Callithrix jacchus: one gene and its partners. The protein of the gene in region 2 interacts with the protein of the main gene of each other region in a pairwise test. Links are inferred from orthologs where the notes say so. Each region holds a gene or a part of one and is shown on either strand. Other genes may lie near its edges.

Region 1 (2,283 bases), on a different chromosome or scaffold from region 2:
GGTGACCCCGGGCAGGAGGCTGCAGCGAAGACCAAGGGGATTCATGAGCCAGATCCAAGGAGGGTGTCTCCTAACCCTGCCTGCTTCATTAGACTCTTCTCCTGCTGGAGCCACGGGCTGTCAAGGCTGCCTTCCTTAAGGCATCAGGGCCGATGCTTGTGCACAGAGCTACCATCAGCTGTACAGACTGAGATGGGGTGAGTGCAGACTGGTCTATTCTCCAGGGCTTCAGGCTTGGGGCCTCCCTGCTTGCACTGTGAGCATAGGGAGAGCAGGGAGCACTCTGGGCATGTGTGTGCAGACTGGTCTATTCTCCAGGGCTTCAGGCTTGGGGCCTCCCTGCTTGCACTGCGAGCGTAGGGAGAGCAGGGAGCACTCTGGGCATGTGTGTGCAGGCTGAAGGGAGAAGTACTGGGTTTCGGAGAGGGAAGGAGGGCCCCACAGGTGCCCAGGGACACAGTAACCCTCTGACATTGCTGCACCAGCAAAGGCTTCCCAGCTCAGAAGACAAAAATGCATTTTAATAGTTTGAAGTGCGATGAGGTGTCTGCACAGCACCACAGCCTGAGTGAGGGAGGGCAGGGCCATCATACGAAGTAGGCGGCCAGGGCTGACATCTTGTCCTTGGGCCGCCTGGGGTTGGGCTTCCCAGGGGGCCTCCTGGCCCGGCCCCGCCCTCGACCCTGTCTCCTCCCTGGTCCACTGCGGTGCATGGGGTGGCAGGAGGCTGCATGCTTCAGCTCCACCAGCTCCTGGAAGACGGGGTCACAGAAGACGCAGCCCATGTGCTGTGTCTCATCACCTGGGAGTGGGGACTTGGCCTTGTTGAAGTCCACGTCAAGCAAGGCGGCCTCACAGACACTGCAGGTGTCGGCGGACACCCGCACACGGTGGGCGTTCTCAAAGCAGTGCGCCACCACGTTGCACTTGTTGCAGGCTACCTTCCACTTGGGGCCCGAGGTGGGGTCCAGCACCAGTACCCCACTCTCGCATTCCACGCACTGGCCGATGCCCAGCATGCTCAGCGAGTGCTGGCAGGAGGGGTGTGTACATTCATTGCAGCCCATGCCTGGTGGAAGAGGGGAGCCCTGTGAGGCATGCTTGCCACACCTGCCTGCCCTCTGCAGCCTGCTCCCAATGCCTCAAGCTCCTGGATCCCTCGTCCCAGCAGAAGGAACTCTTCTTGGCCTCGCTCCTGGGGACAGCTTTGCTTACGCTTCGGCTCCTGGCTGCTGTTACCTTTGTTTTCTGCTTATCTGAAACCTCCTCAACTCTTGAGGCCCCTTGCTGGTGCCATCCCAGTGGGTTCCAGCTGACTCCATCCCCACTTTACTTTGCTGCCACAGCTCGTTACTGGTAATGCCACATGACCCTCATGTCACTGGGCCACATGGAGCACCCTGTCAGCTGCTCTGGAGGCAGCAAGAGGGTGGAGATGGGGCCTCACTCTCCTGGCAGCCTCGGGGCAGACTGAGGCCTGAGGGGGCTTCCTGCAGAGCCCACGGTGAATGTGGGCAGACACCTTACTCCAGCAGGTTCCTGTTCTGGCTCAGTGCTCTCTGACCTGCCTGCCTGGACACATGCTCTCCCTTCTCCAGTAATGAGGATGAGAATGGAGGACAGTGGTGGACGCTGACTGGGGGTGCCCACTCACTGGGTGGGTCCTCTTGCTCACTCAGCTCCAGAGGGATCACTGCACACCTGTGCCCAGGTCCTGAAAGTAGACTAGGGTTGCCTGCTTAATTCTGACACAGAGAGAGGGTGGCACTGGCTGGCTAAGACCTGAGCAGTGCCCCAGCTATATCCAGGGTCTCTCGTCTCAGTGCCAATGAGTGCAGTAAAAGCCAGGGTGAGGGGTCCCCTTGGAGTCCGGCCTGGTCCAAGGCAGGAGCTGGCACTGAACAGAGACTGCAGCTGCCTGTGAACAGGAGGGAGTGGCCGCACTCACCTTTCTTCATGTCTCGGAAGGGTGGGTGGTTGTAGCAGTAGGGGCACAGTGGGTAGCTCTTGCCCCGAGAGCCTGATGACCACAGGACCAGCTCAAAGTCGTCCAGAGGGCAGCGGAGCTCCTTGTAGAGCTTGATGGTGCCATTTTGGGGGAGTGTGTAAGTCTCGTCACAGTGGGAGCAGTGCAGGCGGCTTGGCTTGGCCTGCGGTAATGCCAGGCAGGGGGTGTGAGGGTCACTGAGGCCACCGACTTGGCCCCTGCCCCACTCCTCTCATAACACACCATATGTAACCTGTCATGTAGAACCTGTGACACACTGCCAGGCAAGGACCCTG
Region 2 (4,082 bases):
CTGCTTTGTGGGACTCCTGTCTTTCAGATATTTGGATTATGTTCAATGCATTTTGGATCAATTTATTGATTTTGGTGGAAATATCCTTCTGAAGTAAAAATCAAATATAATTTCCCTACATAAAACCTTCTGAAGATTCCCTGTAATATACCAGTCAATGTTCACAGCACTGTTCTACAGCCTTAAGAATACAACAACCCCAGCCTGGTCCAACTCTACCAAACCACCTGTAACTCCTCAACTGTGCACTGCTGCAGAATGCACCAGCTGCTTGACAAACTCCACCACCTCAGCCAGACACAGCTGAAAGTCTCGTTCATTTCGAAAGCCTTCCTATATTTGTTGTAAGATTTTTTTGCTCTCTCCCTTGCTATACTGATAATTTCCAAAATACAATTCCGCAAGGAAAGACTCATCTTTTTACCCTCAGGTCTGGCAAGTAGCAGCTTACTAAGTGTTTAATGAATGTTTATTGAAAGAATTATTTAAGCATAATTCAGTAAATCTGCTGGTAGTACATAAAATATTGGCCCGCAATCAAAAGGCATGATCCTATGCTGTTTTTCATTACTAATGGTGCATTTCTCTGTTCTATCTCATCCCATAAACTCACGAATTCAAGATAACTTGTACCTTTACTTTTAACCATATCACCATTACCAAAGTCACAAAACAAACCCATGTCGTATCAAAACCTCTTTGTATCATGAACAAATGGTTAGAACAATAAGAAAGTATGTTGACAGCTATTGAAAAGATATGGAAGAAAATAATTTAAAAATCTTTGAAAGCGATCCAATTTAAACATGTGAAATGAATTAAAATCACACAATTCTGGGGCCACGTCTTTTCATGCGCCTAGTTTCTCTAGGTGCATACTACATAGAAAACACTCAAATGTCTAGTTTACAAAACCTGTGTCAGGGCCAGCCTTGGCCGAAGAGCAGACTGTCAAGCATCAGGAGATCCCAAGTATACCATCAAACACTGTGCCAGACTTGAGGTCTTTAGCAAACAATTTCAGCATAACATTTTAGATTTCTCATATATCTGTCTCATTATGTTTAGAACATAATATGCTTTAACAAGCCTTGTCACAAAGCATAATGTGTGATGAGATCTTCACATTTCATCCTAGAATAACTAAGTCTTCACAGTTATCTTCAAGCCGCCTCACCCATGTTACGTAACCCATGAGCTTTATTATCTTCACTGTACAGCTGGGGAAAGAGAAGGGAAGGAAGAGTATAAAGTGACTTGGCCTAAGAGGCCCAGCCAGTCACTGATTAACTATAGTTCCTAACCTTCTTCTCAAAGAACCGTTTTTGAGAAACTTTGACAGCAGGCAGAACAGAGTGTTAAATTAGTTAAGCTTTCCTCACTTGTTTACTGTGAATGAATAACCTAAGCTGGCTAGGCATGTAGGTTGATAGTTTTAGGATAAGAGATTTCATGGATCAAGTTTTGCCAACTGGATCCAAATTCATAAATCTACCTCGAACTTCTAAATTTCAAGACAGCTTGATGTCAACTTGAAGGGCATTTCTTTTCTCTCCAAAGTTCTAATTCTTTACAAATTTTATTCGGGCTCCTAAATGAGTCAGGTCATACCAACCTTTCTAGTTCAGGATAAACTACACGACTACCAGAATTTTCTTCTAACCCAGAGTAAGCCAATCCCCCATGAACCATGAAGGGTTCCATGACATCCATCGCCCACAGCAAACTCTAGACCTTGACTCTAATATGAATTGTCAGGGAGCCCAGGAAGTTGAAGAAGCCACCACCCTTACACTTCTAAACCACCCTTCTTCTAATCCTCAACCTATTACAGCGTCCAGAAAAATCTCAATTATCTTAGATTCAACAAGAACTTTATCAGCGTTGCTAGTAATGACAGTTTGGCGTTTACAACTATGGGCCCTGAAACTGAGTAATAATCTAAAGATTTCCATATTATACGTGATGACAGCAAATTATTTAGTAGATTCTATGCCCTGGGCCCAAGCGATCTGCCTAAATGGGCAATTAGCATAGGCTCAAAAAACGTACAAGGAGCTTACAATTCAGTTTACTGTCATTGACTATAAAATTCTAAACCAAAGTATTTTCACACATGCCTGCCGCTTGGATGATGTAAGTTCTTCCCCTACACTTTTTATTAGACCACTATCTGGGTTCTCTCTTCCACTACAGCGGCCACTGGCCACCCAATAAGTCATTTTAAACACTGCCTCTTGCGGCTGCACTAGCAAATCGCCAAAGCCCGCCTGCCCCACGGCCGCTTTGAGACTCTGCAGCCCCAAATTGGCTATCCCCTCCTCCTCCGCGTCTCCGCGCCGCTTGTCTCCCTATGCTGGGCGCCACCCTCGCTCCATCCGGGAGAGGGTTTGGGGTTCCTTGGGCAAGAGCCCTCTGCGGGCGCGGTCCCGGGGCCAGCACCTACCTCCCACCTCCTCTTCCAGGCGCGGCCCGGGTTGACGCTCACCCGCACCCTGCAACGGCCCCAACCGCCGCCCGCAGCCTCCCGCCGAGCCGCGGGGCGCTGAGCCAGGTACTGGCTCTCACCTCCGCGCGCGTCCGCCCAGCGCCGGCGCCCACCCCACCCCCGCCCACTGCCTGGTGGGACGCGTCACAATCCCCGCAGCGAGGCGCCGCCGCTCACCGTCACGGCCCCCGGGAGCGGCGGGGAGTCACCGCTTGGCGTCCTAGCCCGGCTCCCGCAGCCCCGAGGGCCAGCAGCGCCTCACAGCGCCTCCCGCCGGCGGCTCCTCCTCCGCCACGGACTCCCGCCTTCCCCGCCCCTTGCGGCCGCCTCCCGGCCTCCGCAGGTTCTTGAGGTTCCCACCCCGCCCCAGCGCGCCGGCGCCGCAGGCCCTGCCGCCTCCCATTGGCTCCGCCAGTTGCTAGGCGATGAACAACCGCGGCCTACATTGGTCGGGTGGGGGCCTCTGGAGTCTCCTCCTCACCTCCAAAAAAACCCGGAGAAAAAGACCTTATCCCTGGAGTCCGCGCGCAGCGAGCGCAGCTGCGGCTGCGGCACCTGTTACGCCCTGTGATTCACCCGTCCAGGCCCTGTTCCCCGCCTCCTCCTGATGCCTGCAGCGGTCGGGGTCGGAGCTCTGTGGGTACAGGGGGTCGTGGTTGCTTTAGAGCACTTTTTAGGAGCCCCGCTGAACCCCAGCACCCAACCTAGCAGCAAAAGTGAAGCTTCCAGAAGAGCCACGTTCGTTTGCCAAAGTGGAGAAATTAATCAAACAGCCGGCACCTAGAATTAGGTCAGGCGCTAGGAACGGGAGGTTCAAGCGTCGGGAGTTGTGGATGCAAACAACCCAACCGGAAGAAAGTTACATGTAAAATTAGGGCAAAGAAATGGACCTGGGCAGAAGACAGCGGGCAAAAGAAAGACTAAGAAATGGCATTCATGAACTCTCAGTTTATGCAAAAATGTCTTACACCCACTCAGCAAAATATGTGCAATGAAAACCTATGCCTGCTGCACCCGTGGTCAGGGTCAGGCCGGCTCCTCCCTGGTTCCCTGGCAGCCTAAAATTCTCCGGGGAAGAAAAGAGGCCAGAGAAAAGAAGGAGATCAGATGGAGAAATCACAGGCATATGGGTTACACAAAAATGTACTTTGATTTTTGGTTGGTTTGCTTTTGGTGAAGCGAAGGGATTTATTCAAAAGGCGAAAAACAGGTTTGGTATTTCAAGGAGGCTCCTCAGAGTATTTTGAAACCAAAACAGTATGAGAGATGAAGATGTATTAACACTGAAAAACAAGAGCAGGAGGAATGCCAGCCTTCCAGTTTGCATGAACGTATCCCCAATCCTGGATGAAAGATCAAGGCCAGAAGCAGCAGAAGAAGCATGCCGCAGCGACAACTTGAGGGCCCAATGAAATTCCCCTCTTTTCCTTTGGCCTAAGCATTCAGAGGTCCAACTAGCTGCTGTTGAGCCCAGGTGCCCTTACCATTAACAGTTACATTTTTAAAAGGTTTGAGTCAAGCTTGGTTGAGATCTGGGAAGTTTGGCCCTAACCCCAGGGAGGAATAAGATCTGCCTGAATAAATCAGTGGTCTC
Region 3 (3,937 bases), on a different chromosome or scaffold from region 2:
ACATGCTTCTGTGCCTGCAGATGTCCTCCTCCCCACTTCCCCATCCCTAGCCACAGCCACCAACTCACCTCAATGTCCCGGTCCTGTTTCATATCTTCTGGTGGGTCCTGGGTGGAGATAGCAGGGGCAGAAATGGGGGATGGGGCTCAGGCCTCTTTCCATCTGTTTGCTGGGGTAGAGGCCTGGCTACAAGGAAAATGGGGTGCCCCTAACTCGCCAGGAACTCACAGAGCACTGCCCACTTACTGAGAGCCAGGTGTGTGGTCTCAGTTGTCCTCATAACAGCCCTGAGAAGTGGGCACACCTGTGACATTATTGCTGCACTGGAGAAACTGAGGCTTAGTGGAGGACTTGCCTGAGTGAAGCCAGCCTGACTCCCATACTCACTTCCTGCCTGCAAATGCTACATGCTTGTTGGTGTTGTGATGCATCACCCCTTTGACGCCACACTGTGCCAGAGATAAGTGGTGGGAATCTGGGTTGAGATTCAGGTTTGAATCCTAACTCTATCACTTCCAGTTGTGGGGACTTGGGCAAGCCACTCCCTGCCCCCTGGGTTCCCACTGACTGACAGGCATGTCAGAGCTCAGGCTCTGACTCCAGGTGGCCAGGGTTCAAATCTCAGCTGCCACCTGCTTGCCTCGAGAACCTGGCAAGTGACTTAAGCCTCAGTTTCTTTGTCTATGAAATGGGGATGATAAATAATAGGACCTGTCTCCTGGGTCACTGTGGTGATGAAATAAATCAATTCCTGGAGTCTCGCCATGTGGGAAGTACTCAATCAATGCTACCCTCTGTTATTGTTATTATTATTTTATTTTTGAGATGGAGTTTTTTGCTCTTGTCGCCCAGGCTGGAGAGCAATGGCACGATCTCGGCTCACTGCAACCTCCGCCTCTCGGATTCAAGTGATTCTCCTGCCTCAGCCTCCCAAGTAGCTGTGATTGCAGGCATGCACCACCACACCCAGCTAATTTTTTGTGTTTTTAGCAGATACGGGGTTTCACCATGTTAGCCAGGCTAATCTCGAACTCCTGACGTCAAGTGATCTGCCTGCCTCTACCTCCCAAAGTGCTGGGATTACAGGCATGAGCCACTGCACCCGGCCCCTCTGCTATATTTTTATCATACTTTTACATGTGTAAATGTGGACTATGATGCATATTTTATTATACTCTTTTACAGCCCTACACTGAGCCTTTCAGGCAGATGAAATCCACAGCGTTCCCATCACCAAAGCTCTCCAAGAAGCAAAGTAGCCGCGTTGAACCTGTGCTTCAAAACCATTCATTCATTCATTCATTCACTCACTCACTCACTCACTCAACACAAGGGTTCCATTTCCCCACCTCTCTCTCCTCCCCAATCCCCTGCTCATCGCAGCCTTTTTAGGGACTGCCACTAACAACCCTTCCCCACTTCCAGTCTTTGCTCATACCATTCCCTCCCCCACCCCAAGACCCCTGGCTTCCCCTCCTAGGGCTCACTACACCCCATCCTTTAAGACGTGGTACCTCCTCCTCCAGGAAGCCTTCTCTGACCTCTGGGGCTCCCCTACCATGGCAATAATCCTGGCTCCTTTCATTGCCTAGTTTCATGGCTCTCTCTCTCCCATTGAATACAATCAGCACATAATGAGCGCCTACTGTTTGCAGGCTCCCTGGTCTCGCAAACGATGGAGAGGTGAAAAAGTGAGTAAGATTGGGCATGAGTTGCAGACGACAATGCCTGGTCCCTGCTGTTTCAGAGGAGGGTCCCCATGAACGGGTCGGGCCCCCTCTTGCTCTCCCTCCCGTGACCCAGTCCTTTGAGAGGGGAAGGGTTACCTGGGCATCCAGGCCGTTACTCAGTTCTTGGCCATCTTTTTGCTTTACCCCTGCGGGGAGAGTGCGCATAAGGGAAGGGCCTTTGAAGGGTCTGTGGGAGTTCCAGGCCACCCAGAACCGCGACGCAGAGCCTCCCCCAAGCTGGGATCTCCAGGGGAGGTGATCTCAACGCCTCTCCCTACACCACGCCCCCTCGGCGATCCCACGCGCGGTCCCCGCACCAGGCCCGGGCCCCCTCAGCCTCACCGTACACGATGGAGCGCCCCACTCCCGTGTGGTCGCTGCCGAATTTCCTCATCAGAGCCCCCGCCTTCTTGGAGGATACCTTCCCATGAAACTTCTCCCGGAGGCGCCGGACGCTCTTCTCCAGCTGGGATGGGGACACGGGGGCTCCGCTGGGGGAAGGGGACGCGCGATCTTCCCTCCCCCATTACTAGGCACCGTTCTCCCGGCCTGAACTTGACCCTTGGTTTTGGCCTCCGCCGCCCCCCCCCCATCCCTCTACGGCATTTCCTGGAAAAAGCCAAAGTCCCCACAGGGCGTTGGGGGAGGGCGCGGGCCGGGGCGAGCGTCCCAGCCTAAGGTGGGGGGTCGGCCAGGTTATCTCTGGCCTCTGACCTTTGACCCTGCAGCCCCCGCTTTTCCTCAGGGAGGCCTCATTTTGCTCTGGGGAAACGTGGGAGTCACTTTCCTTTTCAAGGGGGGCGAGCGCAAGGCAGGGGTAAGGATCTGGGGTTCTAGGATGGGGGTCCCCAGGAACTGCGAAGCCCCTTCCGCGCCTCCTGGCCGCTCCTCGGGCTCTGTCGCGGCTCCCCCCCGGACCAGCCGTAGCCATCTCCTACCTCCACACCTTCCTGAGACATGGTGGCGGCGGCGCAGGTCCCCGCGAGGGTCCGCACTGCGCGGCTCAGCCGCCCCCCTACCTGGGCGCGCCCGTCGGTCCAGCAGCCGCGCAGGGCAGGGGGCGGTGCCTCGGGGCCGGCTCCGCCCTTCCTCCCCGGCCCCTGTTTCGCTTTCGGTTCGGGGGGGACCGGGCGCGCTGGCTCCGCCCTGGCTCCGCCTTTGCTCTTGCGCCCCAAACCCAGGCGGGAGCCCCGGGTCTGCACCCTGCGGCGGAGCGCGCAGACCTCGGGCGGGGGAGGCGGCGCGGCCTCTGCAGTCGGTCACATGTCCCCACGCTGCGCGGGGTCCGCGTCTTCACGTCCCTCGTGGGGGCGGGGCTGCATCGGAAGGCCGCGGCGAAGCCCCGCGCCCCCCCACCCAGCGCGCGCTCCCCCAGTCCATCACCCTCCTCTGTCCTCCCTCCTCCCCCGGGAATCTGGAGCTTCTGAGGACCTGGGCCCTTTTCCTGCCCTGAGTCTCTGTCCCGCTACGGTCACTTCTTTGAGCCTCAGTTTACTGCTCTGTGAAATGGGGAAGATCCTGGTTTCTACACCATGGAGTGGAGCCTGTGCCAAGATTCCCGAGTGGATCGCGTAATAGCGCCTGGCTTGCAGTAGGCGCTCCACTAGCACTGGGCCACCTGCTGTGTGCCCTTGATGGGGCAGGCAGTGTGTGTGTGTGTGGTGCGGGGAGCGGTGCTTGAGAAAAATACAGATTCTTGGTCTCTAGTAACCCGGTAGAATCCGGCTGTCTCAGGGATCCAGGGAATCTGCCATGGTTGAGAACGCGGTGGGCCGGGACAATTCGAACCTTGTACAGGATGCATCTGGTAGCCCTAGAGTGGTGGGGCTCTGGCCCAGCCTGGGGACATCAGAGATGGCTGCCTCGTTGGAGGAGGGGATGCTTTGTACAGCGTCACTGGAATTGGAGGTCTGGGGGAGGAATAGAGTGGGGAGATGAAGCAGCCTGCGGAGCCCCCAAAGCAAGACTAAGTCTGGGGCGCTCGGGCAAGGGTTTCTTAAGCCCAGCACGCTTGACATTTTGGGCTGCCTAGTTCTTTGTGTGGGGGACTGTCCTGTTATGGGGAACATTTAACAGCATCCCTGGGCTCCACCCACTAGATGCCAATGGCTCCCCACTCTCCCCATGGTGACTACCAAATATGTCTCCAGAGACTGCCAGATGCTCTCTGAGTGGCAAAATAGCATTGTGTTCAACGACTCCAGTTT
Region 4 (3,697 bases), on a different chromosome or scaffold from region 2:
AAGATGAAAATTTCTTAATTTACACAATCAGAATAATCTTGCTTTCTCCAAAATATTGTGAGAACTAGAAAAATAAAATTCCTAGCCTCTCTCTCTGTGTGGCCCATGAATGCATGTGAGTGTGGGAGGTGGGAGCTGGGAGTGTGGGCTCCCACGTAAAATGTAAAAATAAGTTTGAAAATAAATAACCTAAAAGCCACAGGGTGTATGAGGGATTGTAGGCAGGTGGGGACAAATGTGGGCTCTGGATTCATTCTGAGTTGAAGTGCCAGCTCCTTCTCTTGCTAACCTTTACAAGCTATGGAAAGTTAATTACCTACATTATTCCTGTTTCCTCCATGGTGCAAAGGCAGTAGATGCCTTCCTCACAGGCCTGTTGTGAGGGTTAAATAAAAGGGGAAAAATACATGTTAGGGCTGAGTACAATGTCTCACTCTTTAAGTGCCCACAAGACATCCATTAATTTTGATAAAATATAGAAACTTAAGGGAAGGAAGTTATTTTTAGTTTTTATTCTCATATGATGTGATGATGGACAATCATACTGCTTTGTTTTTATACTTTATATTTGTGCATGTTTTTGAAATAAACAATTACATTTAAAGACAATAAAACTATAACCTTCACAAATTTAGGAGTAATCACGAGTAGCGATTTTTCCCACCCTATTAGGGGAAACAGTTACATCTGTACACATTGTAAAATAGAGAATTGTCTCATTCCCAATCATAGTGCTCTGTTAAAATGATAAGAGTACACTTTTCCAAAAATGATTGTATCACAAGAATCTTTAATGTTTACTTTAAAGTTGACTCACGGTAGGGTTGTATATGTGTTTAGTAAATTGTGCCAAGTGCTCACATTGAGACCAGTCCAGTTCAAATCAGTTTACTCCACGAGAATGTCTTCTGTGCCCAGCAAGGTCACGAAGAGCCTTGACTTTTCTCTTGGTTAGGCCAGCTTTGCTGGTGAGTTCTTCCAAACTCTGCAGGAGCAGTCTACCCCAACACACATCACCAGTCCCATATAAAATAATAAGATGCAAACTTTCTCAAGGTACTTCGTCAGTTTAGCATGTCTCAGGTACAAAAATCCAAGAAAGGTAGCACAAAAGCGAAAGCACCAACCAAGCTTACATATAAACAAACATGCATACATCCTAAATACTACACAAGAGTACCCAAATGAATACAACATTGCATTAAAGGTATAAAAGCACTGTACTGAAAACTTAAAAGTTACACGTGAATACTGCACTGTAAATCCCGAACACTCTAATGACCCACCCCCACCCTTCCACAGCCCCGGTGAGGGTCAGAAAGCATTTCATCTGCCTCCAGACCTTGCTAGTCCTCGGAGACACTGTTGCGGGGGCAGTGAGCAGCGGGATTAGCCTCCCGCAGAGCTCTGGCCTCCTCCAGGGCTTCTCTGTATCGGGAGGGCCAGGCCTGGGGGTCTTTCTTAAAGACCCTGGCCAGGAACTCCATGATTTGCATCTTGGTGATTTCACGGCTGGCCCGGGAGCCCCAGAAGAACTCATACTCTGGCGGCTCCACGTACGGGACGCGCTGGTACTTCAGGTAATTCTGTTGGACGAACTCCTCGGTGATGAGCTTTCGCACGTCCCCGAAGGTGGAGTGCTTCTTCCAGGGCCGCAGCCCCAGGATGCGCAGCACGTTCCAGACGGCGCTCTCTCTGGCGCCGCGGCCCTTCACGTAGATGAGGCTCAGGATCATGAGCAGGAGGCCCGTCATGGGCATGCGGTTGCTCAGCGCCACCCTGTCCAGCTCCTCCGGCTCCAGCGCTTTGACCAGCGCAAACTCCATGGTGTGCAGGCTGGTCAGCCTCAGGTGCAGCCCGAACACCCGGGCGAGGATGAGGCTGGTGCGCCGCAGGATGCTCCTGCACCACTTCTTGTAGCTGCCGATGACATCTTTCACCATGTCTGGAAACCAGATGATCATCTTCTTCTGGTCCTTGACCAGCACGTACCACATGAGCTCGTGCGCCTTCTGCACCAGCTGCGCCGGGGCGGGCGGCGCCGGGCCGGGCTGGGCCGCGCTCGGGGCCTGGTGGGCGCGGCCCTCCTCTGCGGCCTCCAGCAAAGCCTTCGGGTCGACCTCCTCGATCGGGGCCTGGGGCGGCTGCGCGGCCTGCGGGGCGGCCGTCGGGCCTAGGGGAGGGCTCTGCGGCTCCGCCAGGGTCGCGGACGGAGGAACCCCCCCCGGAACCCCAGGGCTGCTCTGCGCCTCGGAGCTGGGTGCCTCGGCGGCAAAGCTAGGGTCGCTCAGATCCTTACTCTGCTCTGACATGTCTGCGCCGTCTGGCAAGGGCAGGGCCTCTGCGTCCAGGAGCTCTTCGAGCCTGCGCTCCCTCCGCGGACTCCTGGAGAGGAAGTGCGCGTTGCTGCGCGCGGCGCCTTCCGCAGCGGCGGGCAGGGCGGGGCGGCGGCGGGACGCGGCACTGCGCCTGCGCGACCGCGGCCAGGGCGGGCGGGCGGCCGGGGGCGGGCGGGGCCGCGAGGGGCCCCGACGGGGAGGGTCCGCGGTGAGGCGTCACCTGGCGGGACAGCGATCCCGGGGTTTCCTGTTCCGGCCGAGGAAGTTCAGGGTAGGAGAGGAGGGAGATGGATGCCTGTGGAGAAGGAGCAGGTTTTGGGGAAAGATGATAACTCAGGTTTTGGGGATGCTGGGGTCGACTTTCCTGGGAAATGCTCGCCTGGGTATATCCAGAATCCAGTTAAGTATGAGAGCCCCAGAGGAAGGTCTGGGAGGCTGTGCAAACTGGAGCTTTATGTGAACGAGTGAGAGGAACGGTCGGGCTGTCCGAGAAGACGTGTAAACTGTGAGGCGGATGTCCGAGGTTGGAATCCTGAGAAATTCCAATAAAAAGTTGATTGACTCCCTCCCTACCACATCAGAGGGGTTATAAGGAAAGGAGAAATGCGGTTATAAGGAAAGGAGAAATGCAGCGTGTCGTTAACGTGATTTCCTACCCGCGTGAGCCGTGAACTTGTTCAGGAGGCAGTGGGCTTAGACCATCATTGATGCTTTCATGGGCATAGGTTTGGCTTTTACACTTACTTTGAGTCACTTTGATTCCATTTTCTTTTATTTTTCCATGCTTAGTCCATAACAGAAGGATTGCCATATCTATTAGCACAAACTTGTATGATAATGCATTTTTCCCTCTGCCCAGCACCTCATTCTCCGATTCACCTTCTCCCAGGACCTTCTCTGAAGCTACTGAGTCCTCAGTGTTGGGAGTCACACCCAAATCATTCCTTCCTGAGATCTCCAAAAAGATATAGGTCCCATGGGCAATATCTGGCGGTGTCTCAGATGACCAAAAGGTAGCGGGGGCAACATATGGATAGCCCTGTTTTCCAGTTATAGAAAACAGATTCCCAGTGGGCCAAGGCAAAGCTGTCACTCCTAGAGGCTGTCCGTGGAAAAAGGGGCATTGCTGGAGCCTCCACAACCAGGGGCCTCCATGCTGCTTCAGCATCCTTGGTCTGCGTTGATGTGGTCCTTCAGCCCTTGCCGGGTTCCCTCTCATCAGCAGCTTCTTAAATATGTTGTCTCGAGTCTAGTTATTGCCACTTGAAGCCCAAAGCATGTTTTAAAATTGTCTTGACATGTCTAGAGTCCTCACTATGAGTATCTATCTTTTCTCATTTGTCACTTTAATTTTCCTC
Region 5 (3,201 bases), on a different chromosome or scaffold from region 2:
CTCTCTTTTTTTAACTTTGGCTCTGTGTTTACCAGATTATATCTAACAAAGTGCTTCAAAAGTGATTTCTAACAAAGTAATATTTAAATCACAGTGTATCTCATTTAAGTAAAAGTATTTTAAGTCAATAGCTTCCTCAGGAATGTTCTGTCTTCTGACACCATCATTTGAATATCACAGTTTGCAAAGAGCTTTTCCATTCATGATTTCATCCAGTCCTTCCTACAGTTACCCAAGATAGGTACAATTCCCATATTTTTTAAGGTAAGAAAACGAGATTGATCTTGAAGCCAAGTGTTTCATGACCAAAGCCCACACTCTCCCCATGAAATTGAGAAGGGACAGGCTGAGGAGTGAATCTTTGAAAGCAAGTAATGTTTTAAGTACTATTATAATTTGTAGATTGTGTTTCACTGGCTCCCAATGAGCTAGGAGGAAAATGTTTTTAATCCCATGTGTACTCATGCTGAAATAGCTACAAGTATATAAAAACCATATTCATCTGCACAGTCATTCAAACCTTTATTAAGTACCTACCATATGTATAATCCTGTGCCAAATATTAAGGGAATACAAAGATGAATTTGTAAATGGTGCCAATTCCCAAGGAGTTTACAATTTAATAAAAGTGAAAAGTAATTTTCACTTTTAACATGAACTGTAGGAAGGAAATTACAAGTAAACATTTGCCCCTAATGAAGAAAAATAACCTTATTTTTCAATTTAAAACACAAATTGCCAGTTGGGGAACACTGCTATTACATACACCTATATGAGTTCATCCTTTTACAATGATGCTGATTGTTTTTAGAAGAGAAGACGTCTTATGCTGTAACAGCTTTATAATTGGCTTCAAATTTTAAAACAAAAATTTGCTTAAAGAAAAAATTATTTCATAAAATCAGATTAACATTGTACCCAGAGAGACAAAGTGTGTTTGCAACAATATGTAAAAAGTTGAACACAACTGGGTCTAGCAGTAAAGAGTTAAATCTGAATTACTTTGGATACTTGCCTTAGCCAAGTTCCTATGCACAATTTCATCATATATAAAACAGGAATACTTGCCCCTAATTTAGATTATAACTCACACATGCCATAAATACTTCCATCTGTAATAATACAAAGGTTTAAAAAAGCTAGTATAAAAACTTTCCTAATAATTTACGTATCAAAAATAATTTTGACTAGAACTAAGGATTAAAAGAAAAAGGGATGATGGTGTAGACAATTTAACAGTGAACTTTCAGTGCAAAAATAAAATTTGTAAGTATTTTTTTTCTATACTTTTAAAAATGGCTCAGAGTAGCAAAATAAATTCAAGGATTTATTCTGTGAAATGTATTTCAGAGAAAAAGAATGGGCAAATAGTATAATTAAAAATACTCATTGATTCACACTTTCCAGAAATTTTTAAAAAGTAAATCACCAAAGACCAATATTTCTCTCTGCTTTCAATACTAAGCCATTTTTTCTATTAAAATTAATGAAACAACGTATATTTTTATAACAGTTTGACAGCTGTGATTCTCAAACACTTTTAAAAAATACAAAATCATAGTTGTAAACAGATTGTATATAATGATTTTTAAAACTGAATAGGCAAAGCCTTACTCTAACTGATCAAATGACCAATAAACTGGATTCAGGCTTTTCAGGGTACAGATGACTTTGCTCAACTGCCCTGCACAAATCAGAGGTGTCCCCACAGATGTTCTAAACACAAATGCAGCTGCTCACACCCTGACACTGCGAACAGCAGCAAGGGCATAGAGAGGAGACCTTGATGATTCAGTGTGATTCTTCAACAGATTTCTCTTCTCCACTCTCTTCATCAGCTTCACCTTTTTCCTTATAAGAATCCTGGCTGTTGGTATCAATAAAATAATTTTCTTCCCCATTTTCTCTCTCTTCTATTTTTTCTTCTTCATTAAAGCTAGGGGAAGAAATTTATCAGTCTTTCGAAGGAAAAATGAGTTGGTTTAAATGTAAAAAAAAACCCCTCTGCAAGTGTGCCACCGTGTAGCCAGTCTTCCTCAAGTGTATGAGTTCCAATTTGTTATCAAGAAAACTCAAAAAAAAAAACAGAAAATGCTATAAAAGTGCCATCTGAGACTGCGCATGTTGGCTCATGCCTGTAATCCCTGCACTTTGGGAGGCTGAGGCCTGGCAAGCATTTGGCAGAGACCAGTCTGTCTCTACTAAAAATACAAAAATTAGCCAGGCCTGGTGGCAGGCACCTATAATCCCAGCTACTCGGGAGGCTGAAAGAGGAGAATCACCTGAACCCAGGAGGTGGCGGTGCAGTGAGCCGAGATTTCGCCACTGCACTCTCCAGCCTGGGCAACGAAGAGCAAAACTCTGTCTCAAAAAAAAAAAAGTCAGCAATTGAGAAATTTAATATTCTTGAAAACTAATTTATCTATTTATTTATTTGTTTATTTATTATTATTTTTTGAGATGGAGTTTTGCTATTGTTGCCAAGGCTGGAGTGCAATGGTGCGATCTCAGCTCACTGCAATCTCTGCCTCCCAGGTTCAAGTGATTCTTCTGCCTCGGCCTCCCAAGTAGCTGGGATTACAGGCATGCCCCACTACACCTGGCTAATTTTTGTATTTTTTAGTAGAGGCAGGGTTTCTCCATGTTGGTTAGGCTGATCTAGAACTCCCAACCTCAGGTGATCCACCCATCTCAGCCTCCCAAAGTGCTAGAATTACAGGTGGGTGCTACTGCGCCCAGGTGAAAACAAATTTACTTCAAAATTTGAGTGACTGATTCTTTAAACATCATTTGAAAGCATGCTATTATTTTTGTTACTTATGTCAGTAAGAAATCTAAGTTATTCTGTTTTAAAAAAAAATACTTCACAGCCAGGAGTGGTGGCTCACACCTGTAATCCCAGCACTGCGAGAGGCTGAGGTGGGTGGATCATGAGGTCAGGAGTTCAAGACCAGACTGGCCAACATGGTGAAACCCAATCTCTAAAAAATAAATAAAAAAAAATAATAATACTTCACCACAAGAATGTGAATGTGTTACACATGTCAAAATATCAATATGTTTTAAAAGAGTTCACAGGTCTTTTACTACTGGGTAAAATATTTTTTAAAACAATATAGAACAAAAATATATACATAGTACAAAATTGTATGCTTTCCTGCAGGTAACAATTTTTTCAAAGGTAAACCATTAAGACATCTT
Region 6 (3,966 bases), on a different chromosome or scaffold from region 2:
CAGTACACGCATGTAGTATCAGCTATCAGAGAGGCTGAAGTGGGAGGATGGCTTGAAGTAGGGAGGCAGAGATTGCAGTGAGCTGAGATTGTGCCACTGTACTCCAGCCCGGGTGACAGGGCAGCAAGACCCTGCTTAAAAAAAACAAAAACAAAAACCCCCACAAAGTAAGACATCCAAAGAACTAGGAGTGCTACCTGGCCAGCCTGAACTATTGGCTAAAAAGAAAATTACCTACTAGAAAGCCTGGTAAATATTTCTTCTCAGAGAAAAGTAAAAAGGAGCAAAAATAAAGCTATGCGCTTATGGAAATGGAGACATCATGGTAATAGCTGTGGATATTCGAACATGGAAGAGGTGCTGCCATGAAACGTGTTATCTATAATGATGTGGAAGTGACTCTTTCTTGTCTTCACACTGACTTGGACTTTCAAAAAGTTACTTTTTAAGTAATATTTCCTTATCAGAGATCCACTCTGAAGTATTCATAGTTGGAAAAACCCAGTACCTTCTGAAATTTGCTTTAAAATATCCAGGAAGGGAAAAAGCGGGGCGGGGGAACAAGCAAAATGATAATAGACTGTGGGCAGTGATTATGCTAGGCTCTCTCATCTGGGGCAGGTTTCAAAATTTCCATTAAAGTAAATTTAAAAGTTGAATTCTAGAGAATAAAACTGACAACAGGGCCGGGTGCGGTGGCTCACGCCTGTGATCCCAGCACTTTGGGAGGCCAGAGCGGGTGAATCACTTGAGCTCAGGAGTGTGCGACCAGCCTGGGCAACACAGCAAAACCGCACCTCTACTAAAAATACAGAAATTAGCTGGGTGTGGTAGTCCAGCTACCTGGGGGACTGAGGCAGGAGGATCAATTGCGCCCAGGAAGTCCAGGCTGCACTCCAGCCTGGGTGACAAAGTAAGACCCTGTCTCAAAAAAACAAACAAAACTGACAATAGGTTGGGGACCTATTCTCTTTCACATAAGCCTCGCTCTGTTGCCCAGGCTGGAGTACAGTGGCTGAATTTTGGCTTACTGCAACCTCAGCCTCCTGGGTTCAACTGATTCTCCTACCTTAGCCTCCTGAGTCGCTAGGACCACAGGTGCCTGCCACCACGCCCAGCTGATTTTTGTACTTTTTTTTTTTGAGACGAAGTCTCACTCTGTCACCAGGCTGGAGTGCAGTGGTGTGATCTGCAACCTCCACTTCCTGGATTGAAGCGATTCTCCTGCCTCAGCCTCCCGAGCAGCTGGGACTACAGGAACACACTACCATACCCAGCTGGCTTTTATACTTATAATAGAGACAGGGTTTCACCATGTAGGCCAGGATGGTCGCCATCTCTTGACCTCGTGATCCGCCCGCCTCGGCCTCCCAAAGTGTTGGAATTACAGGCATGAGCCACTGTGCTTGGCCGATTTTTTGTACTTTTAATGGAGATGGAGTTTCGTCATGTTGACCAGACTGGTCTCCAACTCCAGACCTCAGGTGATTCCCCCCCGGGCCTCCCAAAGTGCTGAGATTACAGGCGTGAGCCACCTTGATTAGCCTCCTTCCATGCATCCTGCTCTTATCCCAGAAGAAAGAGGCACATGCCTAAACAAGGATACTGCTTTCACAGCCCGCCTGCCCCAGGAAGCTGGGACCAACTGCAAAGGGAGGGCCGATCCTGACCTGACCCTGTATGTGCACCCCGTACGCCTCGAGGTTGCCATCTGACAGCAAAGGGCTTTACCTGCAGTTCTCCTTGAAGCGACACTTTCCCTCCAGGAAGAACGGGCAGGGCTTCAGGGACTTGTGAGTGGGGTACAGGTAGAGCACACGGACACCCGCCGAGCCATCCTCCGCCTCTTCTGTGCCCACCACCATGGCGTTGTGATACTCCAGGGTGCCCCACGAGCTGTAGTAAGGCGCGCTCACCTTGGTCCCACTCAGCTCTTCCTCCTCTCCCTCTTCCTGCCCACCTGCCTCAGATTCTGGCCCCGCCTCTGCTTTAGGAACTGTCTCTGATCCGGCCCCAGGGGCCGCCTCGGCGATGACCTCCCGGAAAGCCTGGTACTCAGCATCTTCCTGGCCCAGGCGCTCTCCGTCCAGCGCGGCCAGCAGCTTGCTCTTCCTCACGGACACCAGGCTGGCCTCGGTGAGCTCGATGAGCTCCTTCAGGTCCCCCTGTAGCTGGCGCAGGTCGGCCTGCTCGGACGAATCCAGGCCGGCGCCCAGGGCCAGCTCCACCTGCTGCAGCTGCGCACGGTAGGTCTGCAGGGCAGCCTCCAGGCTGTCCTCATCCATGTTGAGAGAGGGAGGCGCTGGACCGGAGCTGCGAGAAGAGGGGCCTGGTGAGCCCCGCGTCTCGGGACCGACACGGAGCGAGGGTCTCGCAGCCGCCACCACAGCCTGCGGCGGGCACGGGCACGTCCCCTTTCCCTCGCGGAGACACCGGTTCAGAGCGATAGCTCCCGGCGCGGAGGTCGCAGCCCGGTACCCCCGCTCGGGCTCCGCACTTCCCTTCCGAGCCGCCCCGGGCTCGCTGCTAGCCGGGTTCCGCGTCACCCCCTCCCCGCAGGGCGACCCCGCGCGGCCCTCCGCCGAGCGCACCCGCCGCGCCCGCAGCCTTGCAGGCTGGTCCCGACCCCCGCCCGGCCTCTCTTCCGTCCGGCCAGGGCCGCGCACCTCCTCAGCGCGGTTTCCCAGCCGCCTCCATAGAGAGCCCGCCGGCCTCACCGGCTAAAGCAGGCCGGAGCCCCGCTTTCGCCCTCGCAGCCTACCGGCACTTCCTCCCGCCGCAGCCGCCTCCGGAAGTGCCTGGCGCGCGGTGGCAGCCGGGAAGCGGAGCGCAGAGGCCGCCGGGACGCGATTAAGCTTCTGCCCCACGGCCCGCGTCCCGTCAGGCCCCGCGCGGGGTCGGTGCCGGGTCAGCAGCGGCGGCTTAGAGGCCGCGGCGGACGCAGGTAGGTCGGAGGCTGTGCGGCCGGGCCCGAGGCCCGAGAGGCGGCCCTGGACTCGAGGTTGGGACGCGGGTGTGACAGGAACCAGCTTTAGCAGCTTGTCGGCGAGCCTCGAACCTGGCGGCCGCGACTGGCAGCCGCCGGGAGCCCGGGGGCCCGAGCGCAGTTCCTCCTCCGCGGGAGTCCGTCCCCGCCCGCCGCGCGCTGCCTGCGGGTCCGCTCTCCACAGGCCGTCCCCGTTTTAAGAAACGGGGTGATGGGGCGCCTGCAGGGGCTCCTGGCTGTTACTGGGTGGGGCTCGCGGCCGAACACCCGAGGGCGCTGTGCCCAGGCGGGGCTGCAGCAAGTGCGTTCCCCGTTCCGCGCGCGTGAAGCGTGGGAGCGACGCGGGGGGGAGGGCGGGGGCGCAACCGAGCTCACTGTGAACACTGGCGGGGTGGTCCCGCGGGCAGGGAGGCCCCGGGGCAGGAGTGGCGGAGGGTGGCTGATCTGGGAGAAGTTACGGAGGCCGAAGAGTCACAAAGGGATGGGGTGGAAGAGAGATGAGGAGTCGGGAATGGCCCCAGGTTCTAGTCCTGAGCGGTCAGCTGGACGTGGAGCACCACTGACCACCGTGGAGAAACTCGGGGGGCGGGTGCGTTCTTGCTGTACAGTGACATCTGTCGGGGTGTCCAGGGCAGGATGTACACGCTGCTGTCCGGCCTGTACAAGTACATGTTTCAGAAGGACGAGTACTGCATCCTGATCCTGGGCCTGGACAATGCTGGGAAGACGGTGAGTGCCCCTCCCTTGCCTGAGCCCCTCCCCACGACCTGGTGTCAGCTGCATGCTCACCACCCAGACAGAATCCAGACTTCTGAGAAGACAGGGTAGTCACCGCCAGCTTCTTGAAGAGCAGAACGTTGCTTTGTTTCTGTTTTTTGTCTTTTAAGGAGCAGGCCTGAGTAAGGATATTTGGGAAAAAGACTTGGGAAACACTGTAGTCCCTATTTGATGTGTCTGCCTCCCTCTCTCCTCAGACCTTC
Region 7 (4,045 bases), on a different chromosome or scaffold from region 2:
GCCAGTAGTTTGAGGCCAGCCTGGGTGACATAGCGAGACCCCATCTCAAAAATAACAAAATAAAGATTAAAAACCCTCTGACAACTGCCCTCAAGGCCTGTGGCCCTGGTGCACCCACCTCGAATGGGGCACTCTGTTCCCCAGCCCCCACCGTGAGCACCCACCTGGTCCCGCTCGACAGCGACCTCCTCCATCTGCAACAGGATGGCCTCGATGCGGTCCTTGTACACCTTGCAGTCCTTGCGCAGGGCCCGACACTGCAGCTCCAACATCTCCTTCTCCTCCACGAACTGCAGGGGGTAGCAGCTCAGCCCCCAAGGCCTGAGGCTCCCCATTCTGACCAGTTGGGGGGTGCTCCAGCTAGGAGCTCAGGAACATGGGTCAGGTCAGTCGGGATGTTGGGGGAGGCCATAGGAGCCCCCAGGCCCCTATTACCCCGCCCTTCCAGACCACAGCAGCGCAGGGCTCTCCCCAGGCCTCAGGCACTGCCGTGCCCAGCTACAAGGAGCCCATGGCCTTTGCCATGGGGTGCAGGTGAGCAAGGAGTGATCACCATCCACTGTGCCTCCAGGAGTGGGTGAGTGGAGATGCTGCACTGGGGTCCCCGCACCCCACCTTCCAGACAGAGTGGGCGGAGCTCAGCCCACCTAGCCTAGCATGGCCCCCAGGGGCCACATGTCCTCGCCTGCGCTCGTACCCGGGCGTGACGGGCCTCGCCCTGGCGGAGGTCCTTGCGCAGGGAGAAGATGGTGCTGGCCTGCTCCTGGTGGTCCCGCAGCGCCTGCCTCCAGTCCTCTTCCAGCACCTGGATGTAGGGGCTGCTCCTGTCCAGCTTTCCCTCCTGAAGGGGGCAAAAAGCAATGGCCCAGCTGGGAAGGCCCATGCCACCCTGCCAGGCTGCACCCGCCCCACCTGTGCCCGCCCTGCCCGCAGCCACACCTGAACCGAGGCCTCCAGCTCCTGCACCCGGGCCTGCAGCAGGGCCTTCTCCTGCTGTAGCTCCCACAGCAGCTCCTGGCTGGGCCGCTGCTCCATGGCGTGCCTGAGCTTCAGTGTGTGCTTGCGTTCCACCTTGCAATCGTCCTCGGCCTTCATGAGGCTGTGCTTGAGCCGGTCGATCTGCAGAAGGCCGGGTGAGCCCAGCCATCCACTCCAGGTGCTGACAGCCGACCCACGGGGCTGCCCCCGACCCGCAGACCCCACCAGGCCAGGCGAGGGGGGCCACCCTGGTTCCCTGGGGCAGCAGGCGCACCTCCAGCTGCAGGTCGCGGTTCCGCATGAGCGCAGCGCCCTTCTCCTCGCTCTGGCGCGCCAGGCGCATGGCCAGGTCATAGTTCTCCTCCTTGCAGCGCTTGAGCTCACGGCTGCCGGCCTCGCACTCCTCCTTGAGCCTCTGCACACGCTCCTGGTGCTTGCGTAGCAGGCTGTCCTTCACCCGCAGCTCCTTGATGAAGTCGTCCTTGGAGCTCAGCAGCGCAGTCAGGTCCTGCACCTTCTTCTGCAGCTTCATGACCTCAGTCATCAGCAGCTGTGTCAGGCCTGACTCCCCGGACGCATCTGTGGACCGGGCCAGTGTCAGACAGGGCCCTTGTTCCCTGGCAGTCCAGCTCCATCACGCCTCGCGCTGTGGCAGGAGCTCAGGGCTCCTAAGCATGTGGGCCTGTCGGTTGACCGAGCACCACTGCCCAGCCCCGCCTTCCCTGCTGGCCCTGCCTTCCCCGTCACTCACCGATGATCATGGAGAAAACTCGGGCTGGCTCCTTGCCCGTGACCTTCTTGTACAGTTGCGGGTAGTAGAGCTCTAAGCTCTCGAGGAAGGCCACATAGCCCTTGTGGCCTGTCCGCTGCAGGATATCCAGGAGAACACCTGCAGGCCAGAGAGGCCGAAAAAGGGGCGGGGTGCTGGCGGGGCAGAGGGCTGGGATGGGTGGGCCCGGGGGCGGGGAGAGGTGGAGGCTGGGACGCAGAGGAGGTGTGCTGCTGTCTGGATCGTGGAAGAGGCACCCTGAGGGTCTAGGTGCTAGGCTGGGGGCAGTGCTGCCCACCCACCCCTTGGCTGTCTCAGGAGTCCCTGCTGTGGTGGGAGCCCCATGACCCCTCTTGGCAGCACCGAGCCAGCAAGAGAGGGCTGGGGGGTGGGGCGGCCACATGTCAGGGTTGAGTTTGGGCCTCACTGGGTGGCCAGGGGCAAAGCTGGGTGGGGTTCCTCTGGAGTTGAGGGTCAGGGTCGCAGAGCCTGCAGCCACCTCCGAGCTGGCTCCTTGGTTGGGTTTGGGGCCAGGAGCCTGTGGGACAGCACTGACCTACTTTCCGTTTGCGGATGACCAGGTTGGGGTCACTGAGCACCTGTTCCTCATCATCGGGATTCAGGACCTTGCACTGCCGCAGGTAGGGTGTGATGCGTGAGGGGTCGATGACCGAGGTGAGCGTCACCCGGAAGCCCTCCAGGGCACTCCAGCACTCATCATCGTTCTCGTAGTCCGACATGGCCCCAGCAGGCAGGCTGAGGAGAGTTGGGGCAGCCACTGAGCGTGACACGGCCTCCTGCCCCCACCCAGGCCCTGCTCCCACTCCCTTCTCAGATGCTGGGCCAGGGCTCTTGTCAGGGCTGTCAAGGGGATCAGCCCAGGGGCGTCTAGGAGAGGTGCCCATTCCCACAGCCAGATCCCCCAGGGAGGCAGCAGAGACACAGTGACACCTTCCCCTTCAGGTCCCTCCACAGCCTTTCCTAGCCCCTGCTGCTGCCCCTTGGCCATCCTGTCACCCAGATATGCACCCAGGGAGGCACAGATGGGTCCGAGAGAGGAACCCCCCCTTCAGCATGACCCCCACTCTGGCCTCTGCATCCTGGACACTCCCAATTCACCTTGGAGCCCTGGAGCCTGCAAGGACAGCCACCTCCATGGGTGGAGTGGTGTGAGCACCTGCCTGGCACTCTGGCCAGGCCAAGCTGGGTGAGAGCAGGTTGGCCTGTGACCCTCCCACCAGCACAGCAGCTGGGGGAGCTGGTCCTTCTGGGACTTCCTCATTCCCCTGACCGACACCCGCTCACATCCCGGGCTGTGCCCTCCCTCCTCCATGGCCGGCTGCTGATGATGCAAGAGTTGCCGCCCAGCCCTGCCACAGCTGCCAGGGTCACTGTACCAGCCAGGTAGAGCTGCCCACAGGAGTGTGTCTCTGTCACCCCCCCACTCCCTGGCCCCACAACCCTGGGAGGGGCTGTCAGTGTTGCCCTGGCCAGCCAGGAGTGCTGCTGTGGCATTTTCTCCAGGTTCCTAGGTGCTGGGCACCAGTGAATTCCTGGACTCTTCTGCCCCCCAGCCACCCCCTCCAGGACCATCTCGCTCACTGCAACAAAAGAACTACCCATGTTGGGACCAGCCACTGCTGTCCCTTTCTGCCAGCATGGTAGAAGCCTCCGCCACTGAAAGCCACTCCCTCCGGGACTGTGACTGGGCCAAGGCGGGGAGCACCCACATGGTCCTGCCTCCCACGCAAGACCCTGCTCCTCAGACAGCCTCCAGCCCCGCTGGGAAAGCTGGTTTCCAGCCCAAAGGAGCTGGGTCACCTCTCCTGGAGACAGTTGCCCCAGGCTTAGTCTTGTGAGGATTTTCTCAACTTCCTGCCGTGCTTTGTCTTCCCATTCAGGCCAATTTTGACAAACAGACAAGGGACTAAATAGAAGCACCACCCACACGGCAGACAGTCCTGGGAACACTGGGCCCCTGCCTTGCCTCTCCAGCCTGAATCCAGAGTCCCACCTGCCTCGGCTGGTAATGCCACTGAAATGTACACAGTGGCCGTGAAACGGATGGGGCCGCACATGGAGGCTGCCCGGCTCCCTGTGGAAAGCCTCATGCTGCTCTGGGGCATCAGCGCCAGGATCCTGAATGAGACTGACACCAACCTTCCTGGCCACCTTTCAGAAAAGCACCAGACCTACCCACCTGAGGGTCCAGGACCCACCTGACCGAAGACAAACCAGGAGTCTGGGCTGCAGAGCCTCTGGGAGATGCTACCCGTGACTGCAGGGAAGAGGAGCACG

Evidence for each region.
Region 1: the proteins of SSX2IP (region 2) and TOP3B interact in binary tests that used the Homo sapiens proteins (3 or more experiments, as listed by UniProt). The two-hybrid records come from large-scale screens. The link is inferred for Callithrix jacchus from reciprocal best matches to the Homo sapiens genes SSX2IP and TOP3B.
Region 3: the proteins of SSX2IP (region 2) and SHFL interact in binary tests that used the Homo sapiens proteins (3 or more experiments, as listed by UniProt). The two-hybrid records come from large-scale screens. The link is inferred for Callithrix jacchus from reciprocal best matches to the Homo sapiens genes SSX2IP and SHFL.
Region 4: the proteins of SSX2IP (region 2) and NDN interact in a two-hybrid assay, tested with the Homo sapiens proteins (2 studies listed by BioGRID). The link is inferred for Callithrix jacchus from reciprocal best matches to the Homo sapiens genes SSX2IP and NDN.
Region 5: the proteins of SSX2IP (region 2) and FAM161A interact in binary tests that used the Homo sapiens proteins (3 or more experiments, as listed by UniProt). The two-hybrid records come from large-scale screens. The link is inferred for Callithrix jacchus from reciprocal best matches to the Homo sapiens genes SSX2IP and FAM161A.
Region 6: the proteins of SSX2IP (region 2) and ZGPAT interact in binary tests that used the Homo sapiens proteins (3 or more experiments, as listed by UniProt). The two-hybrid records come from large-scale screens. The link is inferred for Callithrix jacchus from reciprocal best matches to the Homo sapiens genes SSX2IP and ZGPAT.
Region 7: the proteins of SSX2IP (region 2) and CARD9 interact in binary tests that used the Homo sapiens proteins (3 or more experiments, as listed by UniProt). The two-hybrid records come from large-scale screens. The link is inferred for Callithrix jacchus from reciprocal best matches to the Homo sapiens genes SSX2IP and CARD9.

The regions. Positions count from the first base shown.
Region 1 is NC_133502.1:193,906,916-193,909,198, forward strand, and holds the end of TOP3B (DNA topoisomerase 3-beta-1), read right to left. Parts: intron 2,151-2,283; coding exon 1,949-2,150; intron 1,070-1,948; coding exon 588-1,069; 3' UTR 501-587; downstream 1-500. UniProt on the Homo sapiens protein: Releases the supercoiling and torsional tension of DNA introduced during the DNA replication and transcription by transiently cleaving and rejoining one strand of the DNA duplex.
Region 2 is NC_133508.1:121,905,599-121,909,680, forward strand, and holds the start of SSX2IP (afadin- and alpha-actinin-binding protein), read right to left. Parts: upstream 2,801-4,082; 5' UTR 2,569-2,800; exon of another isoform or gene 2,447-2,568; intron 1-2,446. UniProt on the Homo sapiens protein: Belongs to an adhesion system, which plays a role in the organization of homotypic, interneuronal and heterotypic cell-cell adherens junctions (AJs).
Region 3 is NC_133523.1:9,278,975-9,282,911, reverse strand, and holds the start of SHFL (shiftless antiviral inhibitor of ribosomal frameshifting protein), read right to left. Parts: upstream 2,801-3,937; 5' UTR 2,690-2,800; coding exon 2,669-2,689; intron 2,197-2,668; coding exon 2,073-2,196; intron 1,877-2,072; coding exon 1,827-1,876; intron 108-1,826; coding exon 69-107; intron 1-68.
Region 4 is NC_133507.1:5,529,857-5,533,553, reverse strand, and holds NDN (necdin), read right to left. Parts: upstream 2,401-3,697; 5' UTR 2,313-2,400; coding exon 1,347-2,312; 3' UTR 501-1,346; downstream 1-500. UniProt on the Homo sapiens protein: Growth suppressor that facilitates the entry of the cell into cell cycle arrest.
Region 5 is NC_133515.1:52,310,044-52,313,244, reverse strand, and holds the end of FAM161A (protein FAM161A), read right to left. Parts: intron 1,937-3,201; coding exon 1,792-1,936; 3' UTR 501-1,791; downstream 1-500. UniProt on the Homo sapiens protein: Involved in ciliogenesis.
Region 6 is NC_133506.1:59,198,070-59,202,035, reverse strand, and holds the start of ZGPAT (zinc finger CCCH-type with G patch domain-containing protein), read right to left. Parts: upstream 2,801-3,966; 5' UTR 2,762-2,800; exon of another isoform or gene 2,667-2,761; intron 2,314-2,666; 5' UTR 2,286-2,313; coding exon 1,732-2,285; intron 1-1,731. Other genes in the region: ARFRP1 (ADP-ribosylation factor-related protein 1), read left to right, coding at 3,623-3,715, 3,961-3,966. UniProt on the Homo sapiens protein: Transcription repressor that specifically binds the 5'-GGAG[GA]A[GA]A-3' consensus sequence. Represses transcription by recruiting the chromatin multiprotein complex NuRD to target promoters.
Region 7 is NC_133502.1:184,844,282-184,848,326, forward strand, and holds the start of CARD9 (caspase recruitment domain-containing protein 9), read right to left. Parts: upstream 2,801-4,045; 5' UTR 2,653-2,800; coding exon 2,304-2,652; exon of another isoform or gene 2,151-2,303; coding exon of another isoform or gene 1,868-2,150; coding exon 1,730-1,867; intron 1,558-1,729; coding exon 698-1,557; intron 291-697; coding exon 165-290; intron 1-164. UniProt on the Homo sapiens protein: Adapter protein that plays a key role in innate immune response against fungi by forming signaling complexes downstream of C-type lectin receptors.